Caenorhabditis elegans: one gene and its partner. The protein of the gene in region 2 interacts with the protein of the main gene of each other region in a pairwise test. Each region holds a gene or a part of one and is shown on either strand. Other genes may lie near its edges.

Region 1 (5,218 bases), on a different chromosome or scaffold from region 2:
TTTTCATAACAGAAAATGTCGATAATTTTTGATTTTCTCATATTTTCGATGAAATTCGTACTATTCGGCAATTATTTCGCAATTATCGTAGTTTTTGTTATGAGAATTGGATGTTCTTTCTTTTTCTCACTTTTTCTATTGTTTTTTGCAAGGAGAGACGGGATATTATAATTTCTGTTCTTTGAATTCTTATAAACTATGAAATAATGCAAAATTTAAAGATTGCCGAACAGCCACCGACCGTCGTGTCACGCAGCGCGGAGACGATGGATGAACGCGGGGATATTGAAAATTCGCTTCAGTTTCCAAGGATTTCTTGAAAGAGGTAATATTTTAGCTTATTTTAGCTTCAAATGTTTCTTTTATTTTTGCAAAATTGGTTTTTGCTATCATTCATGGCAAAACCGCAAATTGACTTAACTCTACCTTTAACTTTTCAGTTCATATTGTATTTTTCGCAAACAAAACACAATTTTATACAAAAATGTATTTAATTTCAGATTAGCCAATCGGAAACGCCACGGAAAAGCATCTACAGAGCAACCAAGTGCAGCAGAGACAGCGGAACGAGGGAAAATCCCGAAAAATTCTAATTTTTTTTTGCATTTTTGGAAATTTTTCTTAAATAAATATTATTTAAATAAACTACTGTTGTCATATTATAAGAAAAGAAAGTGAAAACTACAAGCGGGTGGAACGAATCCTGGAAGGATTCCATCTCACAGACATGTCAATAATAGGCGAACGATGGGCCGCTAACAAGCGAAATACAGGCGAGGGATAGGCCGCGTACACGCGTGTTTTTGGTTCTACATTCGCTTGCACGCGGCCTGCATGCAAGTCATCGCTCGCTTGTCGCGGGTTACCTGTGTATACCCCCGGTCATTAAACTTGGTTTAGTTTGCCATGATACTTCCGTTGATTTTCTCTAATGTTCTCCGTCTCTCACTCTCTCACCTCGCTTTATTTCCTTCGTCCATCAGATTGCAAATGTCGTGGTAAGAACAAACTGCCATTTTGGTAAGGTCATCGACGTAAGGTCCAAGTAAAGGATGTTCACGAACCCTTAGGTTACCTCCAGAGTTAGGATTCAGAAGATCTTTTACTCGTTCACAATAAATTTCCATATACGATACCTGTAATAATATTGTTAGTTTCCATGAATTAATGTATCAAAAATAATTACCTCTACAGAATATTGAACATCTTTATCATTGTTATTATCAATTCGTGCAAATAAATCATTGCACAAACGTGGAATTATACCCATTTCATCTGGATCATTGGCTTTTCCCATCATTGTATATGATTTTCCTGATCCTGTTTGACCGTATGCAAAAATGCAGACATTATACCTAGAAGTCAATTATTTAAACTATTAATCTATGTACATCAAACGAACCCTTCAAATGCGTGTTCCAACATTTCAACTCCGAGCTCTTCATATACTTGTTTTTGGGTGATAAAATGTGGGTCATTCCTCGCAAACGACCAATATGAATGATCAAAATTGAAACTGAAGTTCTCCTTGTTAATTGAATGACCATTTATTGCTGAAAATTGGAATATTTTAATTTGAAACAGTTCATACAGTATGCTACTACAGTATCATGTATTGTTATCAGGGAGCTTTGAATTGAGCATATTTTACAACCATTCTTTAAAATTAAAATTTAAAAATAAAACATTTAAAGACTGTGTATAAAAATATATCTTGGAGATCACTACTCTCCAACGCAAATATGAACACCTATCTATGCTTCAAAAACTCTGTGTTAGAAACACGGAACGAAACATGTGGTGGTATTGCTCAATGGTAGATCCCAATATTGAATCCCATACCTCCAGAATATCTTTTAATTCCTCTTATTCATTTCAAGACCCCGTCTGTTCTTTTTTATGCATTGCTTCTCTCTCATCTTTTCAATTATTCCCAAAGACTCTTGGACGTCACCAACGTTTTTCGCATCATTTTGGGACGGCAGCCTATCCTTTTTTCTCGGAAAATATTTCGTAGAAAGGGGTTAACTCAGTCTCAAATGTCACCCGCCATTTCTAAATCCCTTGGGGCACTTACTCGTCGTATTTCCATTTACTTGAAGGACACATTTTGAAGTGTTCGAGATTTCCCGTTGGTTGAATGGGCGAACACGTACAGCTACTTTAACCGATGACATCTGAAATTGTTTTAATTAATTCAAGAATTCGTTCGTAGAAATTGGAATTCACATGTTATTTTGAACTTGTTTATTGAGATTTATTTAAACAATTGAAGTAAGATCGATATATGCTAATAAGGAAAGAAGGAAAAAAGAAATTGACGAAATAAAACAGATTAATGGTTGATTCGATTAGAAAATGTTGGCTCAGGCAGGGAAAAGAAGCAAATGCCAAATGACGTGAATTGTGATCTATTTTCATTGAATTTCAATTTTAAGCATTAAGATTTGAACATTTTGAAATTTTGAAACAAATTGAAAAGGGGTTTTAAAAGTTTTTTAAAACTACAAGTTTACTGATGTCAAAAATTTTACCAACTCTTGAAGAAAAATCTTGAAAAGTTAAAGCTCATTGCGATCTTTCCAAAACCTTAGTAACATTTCAGAACATGAATTAATTTTTTTGAAACCATATTTTTAGGATTAAAATGCAGTCCTACAAACTTACAGAATCTTTTAAGTGTTCTATTGTGGTATTTTTGAATTTTAGCCCATTTTTGGGTACTTTGAGTTAAAAAGGGAATTTTTAACGTAAAATCTGAATTTTTCGAATACCGCCTTTCAAGTCAAGATAATAACTCCGTTCAGCCATGTCATTTTTCTATATCGTTTTTTTTCACACATCAACATCTATAACAAGACATTTGTTTCCCTTTCCTCTTGTTTTTCTATTTTTTCTTCTTCTATTTTGCAATTTTGGCTCACCTCTTGAGTCCTTCTTCTCAGCTCGAGTCAATCATCCAATGGCGTTGAGCCCCACTTATCGTCTCCTCGATGCTTTTCCTCTTCTTCTCCAGTTTTCTATTGAATGTGTATTCGAAAAAAAAAATGAAGAAGAGTGCTGAAAAAAAGGCAGCAATGAATCTTCGAATAGATGGTCGATTGGGAAAGAAAAAGTTCGGAATGGAAGAGAAAAGAGAAAAAGATAGAGATGGAGGAGGACGGAGCCTCGAGGCGAATTTAATTAGATGAGGAAAAAAAAGGGGTTGGGCTGAAATTAGAGAAGCCGAGAAGAAGCAACAGATGACGATGATAAACATGGAAAAAAGAGAAACAAGGAGAAAAAGAACATTCGAAAAAAGAAGAAGGCAGGATACAGAAAAATGATTGAATTTGGTTGGTTTTTGTGAGTCACAGTGTAGAAATTATAGAATCTGATTTTGGAAGCAAAACTGATTTTGGCACAATGTTCCCTAAGGTCAGCGAAAGGAGACATAAAGTTCCAATGGCTACTGTAATCAATGAGTATTTAATGAAAACTATTGATTTTCAAATTTAAAGGTTCAAAAACGAAAGGTTAAAACTATTGTCATATGTTAAAAAAAACCGATCTGTAAAGAATCAGATGGTAAAACATAACCTTTAAAAATGTAAACAATTTCAAAAGTTTAGCTAACACGGGAAAATCTCTTACAGATTTTCCTGGCCTATGGTGATTTTTCTATCCACGCTATTGTTTTTTCTCATTTTAATTTTATATGCTCACTAATTTGAAGTTGATATCACTTATAGAACAAGTTGCTCAAGACAAATTGTAAAATTTTATTTAAAATAAAAAATGAAAAAGGTTCTTACGGTAACATGCTCGCAACTTAAAATAAAAGTTAACACCAACAAAATGAATTTAATTAATATTATCTAGTTCAAAATATGCTTCAATCTTTCGGAGCCTATTTCAAAATGTATACTTGGTCCTTTAGTAAATGGTAATTCAAGATGCTTCAACAATTTTCAACCAAACATTTTTTCACGAAGATCCCCAGCAGTTTTTGAGAGCTCTTGGCTCTTTTAGGGATGAGCACATAATGAAAAAAAGGCGAGGGTTCCAGGCGAATAGTCTCTCGGAATGACGTTTTGAAGACGGGAACTGGAAGTTTTATCGTCACGCAATGTGTTTTTGTTGTTCAATTTGAAGCTGAAAAAGGGGCCGGAATGAACGGAGAAGGCGATTGGATGGGAATAAAAGAAGAATGTTGTGCTAAATGAAGAAATGACGTGAAATGGAAAGAAATCAATTAAATAAAGAAATGTTAATTATTTAGAAGAAGAGATGAAACTAGTAGGAGAAAGGGTAAGGAAAACTTTTAGGATATATATTGAACCATAAAACGTCAATGGAAAATGAAAGCACGGAGGGATAGAATACGAAAATATTCAATTGAAAGAAAAAGGTAGAAATTCTCATCTAGTTCGCTTGTACTTAAACAGTTTTGTCAAATTTTAATCCAATTATCAGGTGATTGTTGCCAAAAACATCTAGTGGAAATTCTGATCACTTTTTAAGAAAAGTACAAAATCAAATTTATTTTTGTATTAGAAAATGTATTAGATATTTATAAATTCAATACAGCTTTGTTTTATCTACTTACATTATACAATTGTTTTTTCAATCTCAAAAATTCAGCCCTCAATCTATTTCCATCACATATCAATTTCCTCCCTTTTAATCTCGACAATGATTCGGTTCTGAAACTCGATATTCTACGTTTGCATATATATACGTCGTTGCATGTTTTGGTGTCATAATTCAAAAAAAGTCCAAGCCAAAATTTGGGAAGAAAAGGAAAACCGGAAGGGATTTTTGACCATCATCATCTGATGATCATGAGTTGTTGGTTTTTGAACAGACAAAAAAAAGAAACACGTCATTTGAATAAAGGCGTATCTGGAGAAAAAAGAATGAGAAAAAAAGTAGAAGAAAGAAGAGCAAGTCTATGTTGTGTGGGGCTATTTTCAGGCAGGGAGGAAGCACAACGTCTAATGGGTGAACGAGACGCAGAGATGAAACGGCAGAAGCTCTGTGGACGACGCGGGCTCCACAAATGGATCGATTGGAGGCACGACGTCTGGGGAACAAGTCTCCGGGGATGAAATAGTGGACGAGGTGAAGAGATTGAAGACGAGTTGAGAGAGAAAAGAAGAAAATGAGAATGGATTTGGTGGAGAATTCCCGAGTAGGTGCTGAATAGAAGGTGCTTAAGCGTAGAATACACAGAAAT
Region 2 (3,504 bases):
TTTCAGAATAAGCTCCGCCCCTTTCTTGGTTTTTTTTTTGAATTTTTTCATTGAATTTTCAAATCTTATTTAATTGGTGCCGAAAAGCTCAAAAACTTCGAATCAACACAAAAATAAGAAATTAAATACACAAACCTTTCCAATTCAGCAGATGTCATAGCTCGACTCGTGTCATTTATGCCCAAAAGTTCAAGATTTTTAACTTTTTCCAAAACTTCAAAATCAGCAGTCATCAGAATAACCATTGAAGAATCTCCGAGACTTTTTGATTTATTATAATAAAATGCAGAATAAATGAATATATCATAAGGTGCCGAATGAAATACTTCTTCATTTTCAAGATCTGGTGAATCGATTCGACTGGAAATTTATCGTTTCAATCATTTTTGAACGGTGATAATTTTTAACTATCAATACTTACATAAATTGAAGTAAGACTGCCGTTACAAAAAATAAAAACGAAAAAAGTAATACCACAGACAGAACCGATGGAATTATTCGTGGAAGCATTTTGGCTGATCTGACGCACTTGTTTTGTGTCCTAACGCGTCCCGCAAGTTATCTGAACATCTAATCTCGAACTACCTTCAATGAGTGCGACGGTCAAAATGAGGAGTAACAGTTTTCATTAATTTAGCAATAAAATAATAAGGCAAAAAATTTGAAAATCAAAGACAAAACAAATGAATTGAGTGGGGGAAATGATGGAAGATTTTGAATGTGAAGGAGCTGCTCGTCCGGATTTTTTCAGCTCAGTTTTTCTGGACAGGTAATAGGTCTGAATATAAAACATGATAGTGTGTGATGAATGGGGAAGAAAAAAACAATCAGAAATAAGGGGAGAATTGGCGGTAAACGAGGAAAACCAGAGTAGACATATAAGATGAAGCTGTGGATTGTTAAATTGCAATTGCAAAAACATAGACGATTGCAAGCATTGTTTTGGCTTCCCAACGGTACATGTACGAGGCTGAAAATGAGATTTTTTGAGCTATAAGTTGAATACCAACTTTCAAAATCAGAACTTTGTGAGTAATAAATTTATTTCCCTCTTTATTATTTAATGTTTTAATACAAAATGTTAACTCACAATCCGTGACTTTATTCCAGTAGGAAATCGTGCTAACATTGAGACCGGAACCGCTCGAGATCTGAAGGAACGACGAGGTAACCACATATTTGTATGGTTTTCCCGCTGCCACTAGCTTCTTCGTTATTTGTTCGACGGCCTTCTGATTCCACTGAACACTGTCCTTGTGGGTATACTGGGTGCTTGCGCCTACAACCTCGTCGAGTACCTGAAAGATTATTGGATTACGAGAATGTGAATAAACAATAATCAACTCAAAAATTATAGTTTTTCAAAGAATTAATACAGTAGACATATAAAATATCGGTACCTGCTTGATGATCATGTGAACGTCCTCCTCTGCCAAAGCCATGATGTTGAGCTTGTGAGAGCTGAATATTGAGTTTAATTATTAAAAAAGAGACAGTATAAATAAATCAAGTGCGCTCAAACGGCAATTGAAGTATCAGAAATTAAGATATAAACATCTTTAAATAATTTATTCTCATAAAACGAGAATACATACGACTAGAAAATAAAATCAAAAAACTAATATTAAATTGGAAATACAGATAATGCATGTTATGGTAGGAATGTTATGTCACAATATGTGAGTTTTGAAAATAAATAGTTAAATATATATTTAGGCTTCCGGCTCGAAATCGACATGAGTGAGGCATGCAGATAAATCGCGTCCGAGTTCAGCTGTTCCAGCGCAGAGAACTTTTCTTGACATGACGTCAAATGGGGATCCAGTTGGATCAGTGACAACACCTCCGGCTTCTGTGACAATGATAGAAGGAGCAGCAACATCCCAAGCGTGAATCCCGTATTCAACATATCCATCGCAACTTCCTTGTGCAACCATCACCATGTTGATCGCGGCGGAGCCAAACGAACGGTGTCTGAAAAAAAAACTTGGATTTTTTTCAAATAACTTTTATTATGTATAACAATATTAAAAATAATAATATCACATCATCCTCGTGATTTTTTTCATATTAAACTTTGTCCATCCAACATCTAACTTTTCCATCTTATCCATTTCTCAATTTTAGTAAAACTTTCAAAAAATTTGCAAACGCACAGTTCAAGAAAGTCACTAGATTTCGACAAGAATATAAAAAATATTTATAAGTACCCGTGACATTGTTTGTCGAACATAACAGTCTTGTAAGAATCAACAAATGATTTCTGCATAACAGGAGATCGAATTGAGCCAAGTTGAAGTATGAGCACACTTTCCGCAATGACTGGAATTTGCAACGTTTCTATGTGAATGTAAATAAAATTGAAAGTAAAACGTGCAAAACCAGCGCGGGAAGTGTGGAGGTATATTTTTTGTAAAAAAGTAATCAATTTTAGACCAAAAAATTAAAACAAACCCTCGCACACCAGCCATCACTTGATTTCGCATGTTTGACTGGGCAATGTCGAGCCAGCGATCGCCGAACTGAACACGATTATGCAGACCGAGAGATTGACAGAGAACTCCCTTTGAAAGCACTTCAAAAAGCAGGGTGCATGACAAGAAAAGTGCAATTACTTACATTGATTCTTTGATGCTCGGATTGGAAATCCATTTTTGAAAGCTCCCTTTCCGAGTTGAGCGAGATAAAGTTCATTAGTGATTGGATTGTATACGATTCCAGCACGAATTTGTTTTTTGATTGCAAGTCCAACGCAGATTGCGATCATAGGGATTCTATAATAACATAAGAATTTGTTTTTCGAGAAAAATTTGAGTCCAAATTAGAAATTAAATAACGCGATTTGCCATTATTTGAAGAGTCCGATTTAAAAAAAATCTTACCTATGAACAAAGTTAGTAGTTCCATCAATCGGATCAATAATCCATGTTGGTGCATCAGTCCATTCAATTTTCGCACCTCCGGCTACAGATTCCTCGCCAATGAATCTGAATCAAAATAGTAAATTTATGTAAATACTCGATTGAAAAAGAAAGTCCAACTGGTTGTCATGGAGACAATGAGTGAAATCGAGCGGACCGTGGGAATTCCTTGCTCTTACCTATGTCCTTTGAATCTCTCGGAGAGCCCTTCGATGAGAAGCTTTTCAACAGCTTGGTCAGTTTCAGTCACCAAATCAGTATTCGATGATTTTGTGTCAACCTTGCTTTCCGGGGAGTCAAACGCGGTACGGACGAGCTGAAAATGTTTTTTTCGAATATTGATGTTTTTTCAAATAATAAAATTTGTTTCGTAACTGAGGAATAGAGAATGTTGTTTTTCGAGTTACGCATTTGATTTAAATGTGCATATTTGTAAAATTAACAAAAATAAGACAAAGATAATAACGACGTTGTTGTTTTAGGAAACAGTTTGATTTTTTAATCCGAATTCAACTCACCGTTCCAGCTTTTTTAACCAACTCAATGGCGTAGTCGACGAAAACTTGCTCTTCCTCGTGGATTG

What was found.
Region 1: the proteins of dylt-1 (region 2) and unc-104 interact in a two-hybrid assay, tested with the Caenorhabditis elegans proteins (one study listed by BioGRID).

What each region holds. Positions count from the first base shown.
Region 1 is NC_003280.10:6,992,893-6,998,110, reverse strand, and holds the start of unc-104 (Kinesin-like protein unc-104), read right to left. Parts: upstream 3,125-5,218; 5' UTR 2,925-3,124; intron 2,178-2,924; coding exon 2,078-2,177; intron 1,554-2,077; coding exon 1,403-1,553; intron 1,356-1,402; coding exon 1,187-1,355; intron 1,137-1,186; coding exon 958-1,136; intron 665-957; coding exon of another isoform or gene 501-664; intron 326-500; coding exon of another isoform or gene 220-325; intron 1-219. UniProt on the Caenorhabditis elegans protein: Motor protein involved in microtubule-associated anterograde transport. Regulates the transport of synaptic vesicle precursors in the axon of DA motor neurons. Regulates the polarized sorting of axonal proteins.
Region 2 is NC_003279.8:7,299,453-7,302,956, forward strand, and holds dylt-1 (DYnein Light chain (Tctex type)), read right to left. Parts: upstream 1,462-3,504; 5' UTR 1,443-1,461; coding exon 1,401-1,442; intron 1,299-1,400; coding exon 1,091-1,298; intron 971-1,090; coding exon 900-970; 3' UTR 613-899; downstream 1-612. Other genes in the region: BAH-4 (Glycosyltransferase family 92 protein F13G3.3), read right to left, coding at 136-360, 422-510; Inositol monophosphatase ttx-7, read right to left, coding at 1,713-1,974, 2,455-2,575, 2,620-2,774, 2,883-2,987, 3,101-3,237, 3,440-3,504.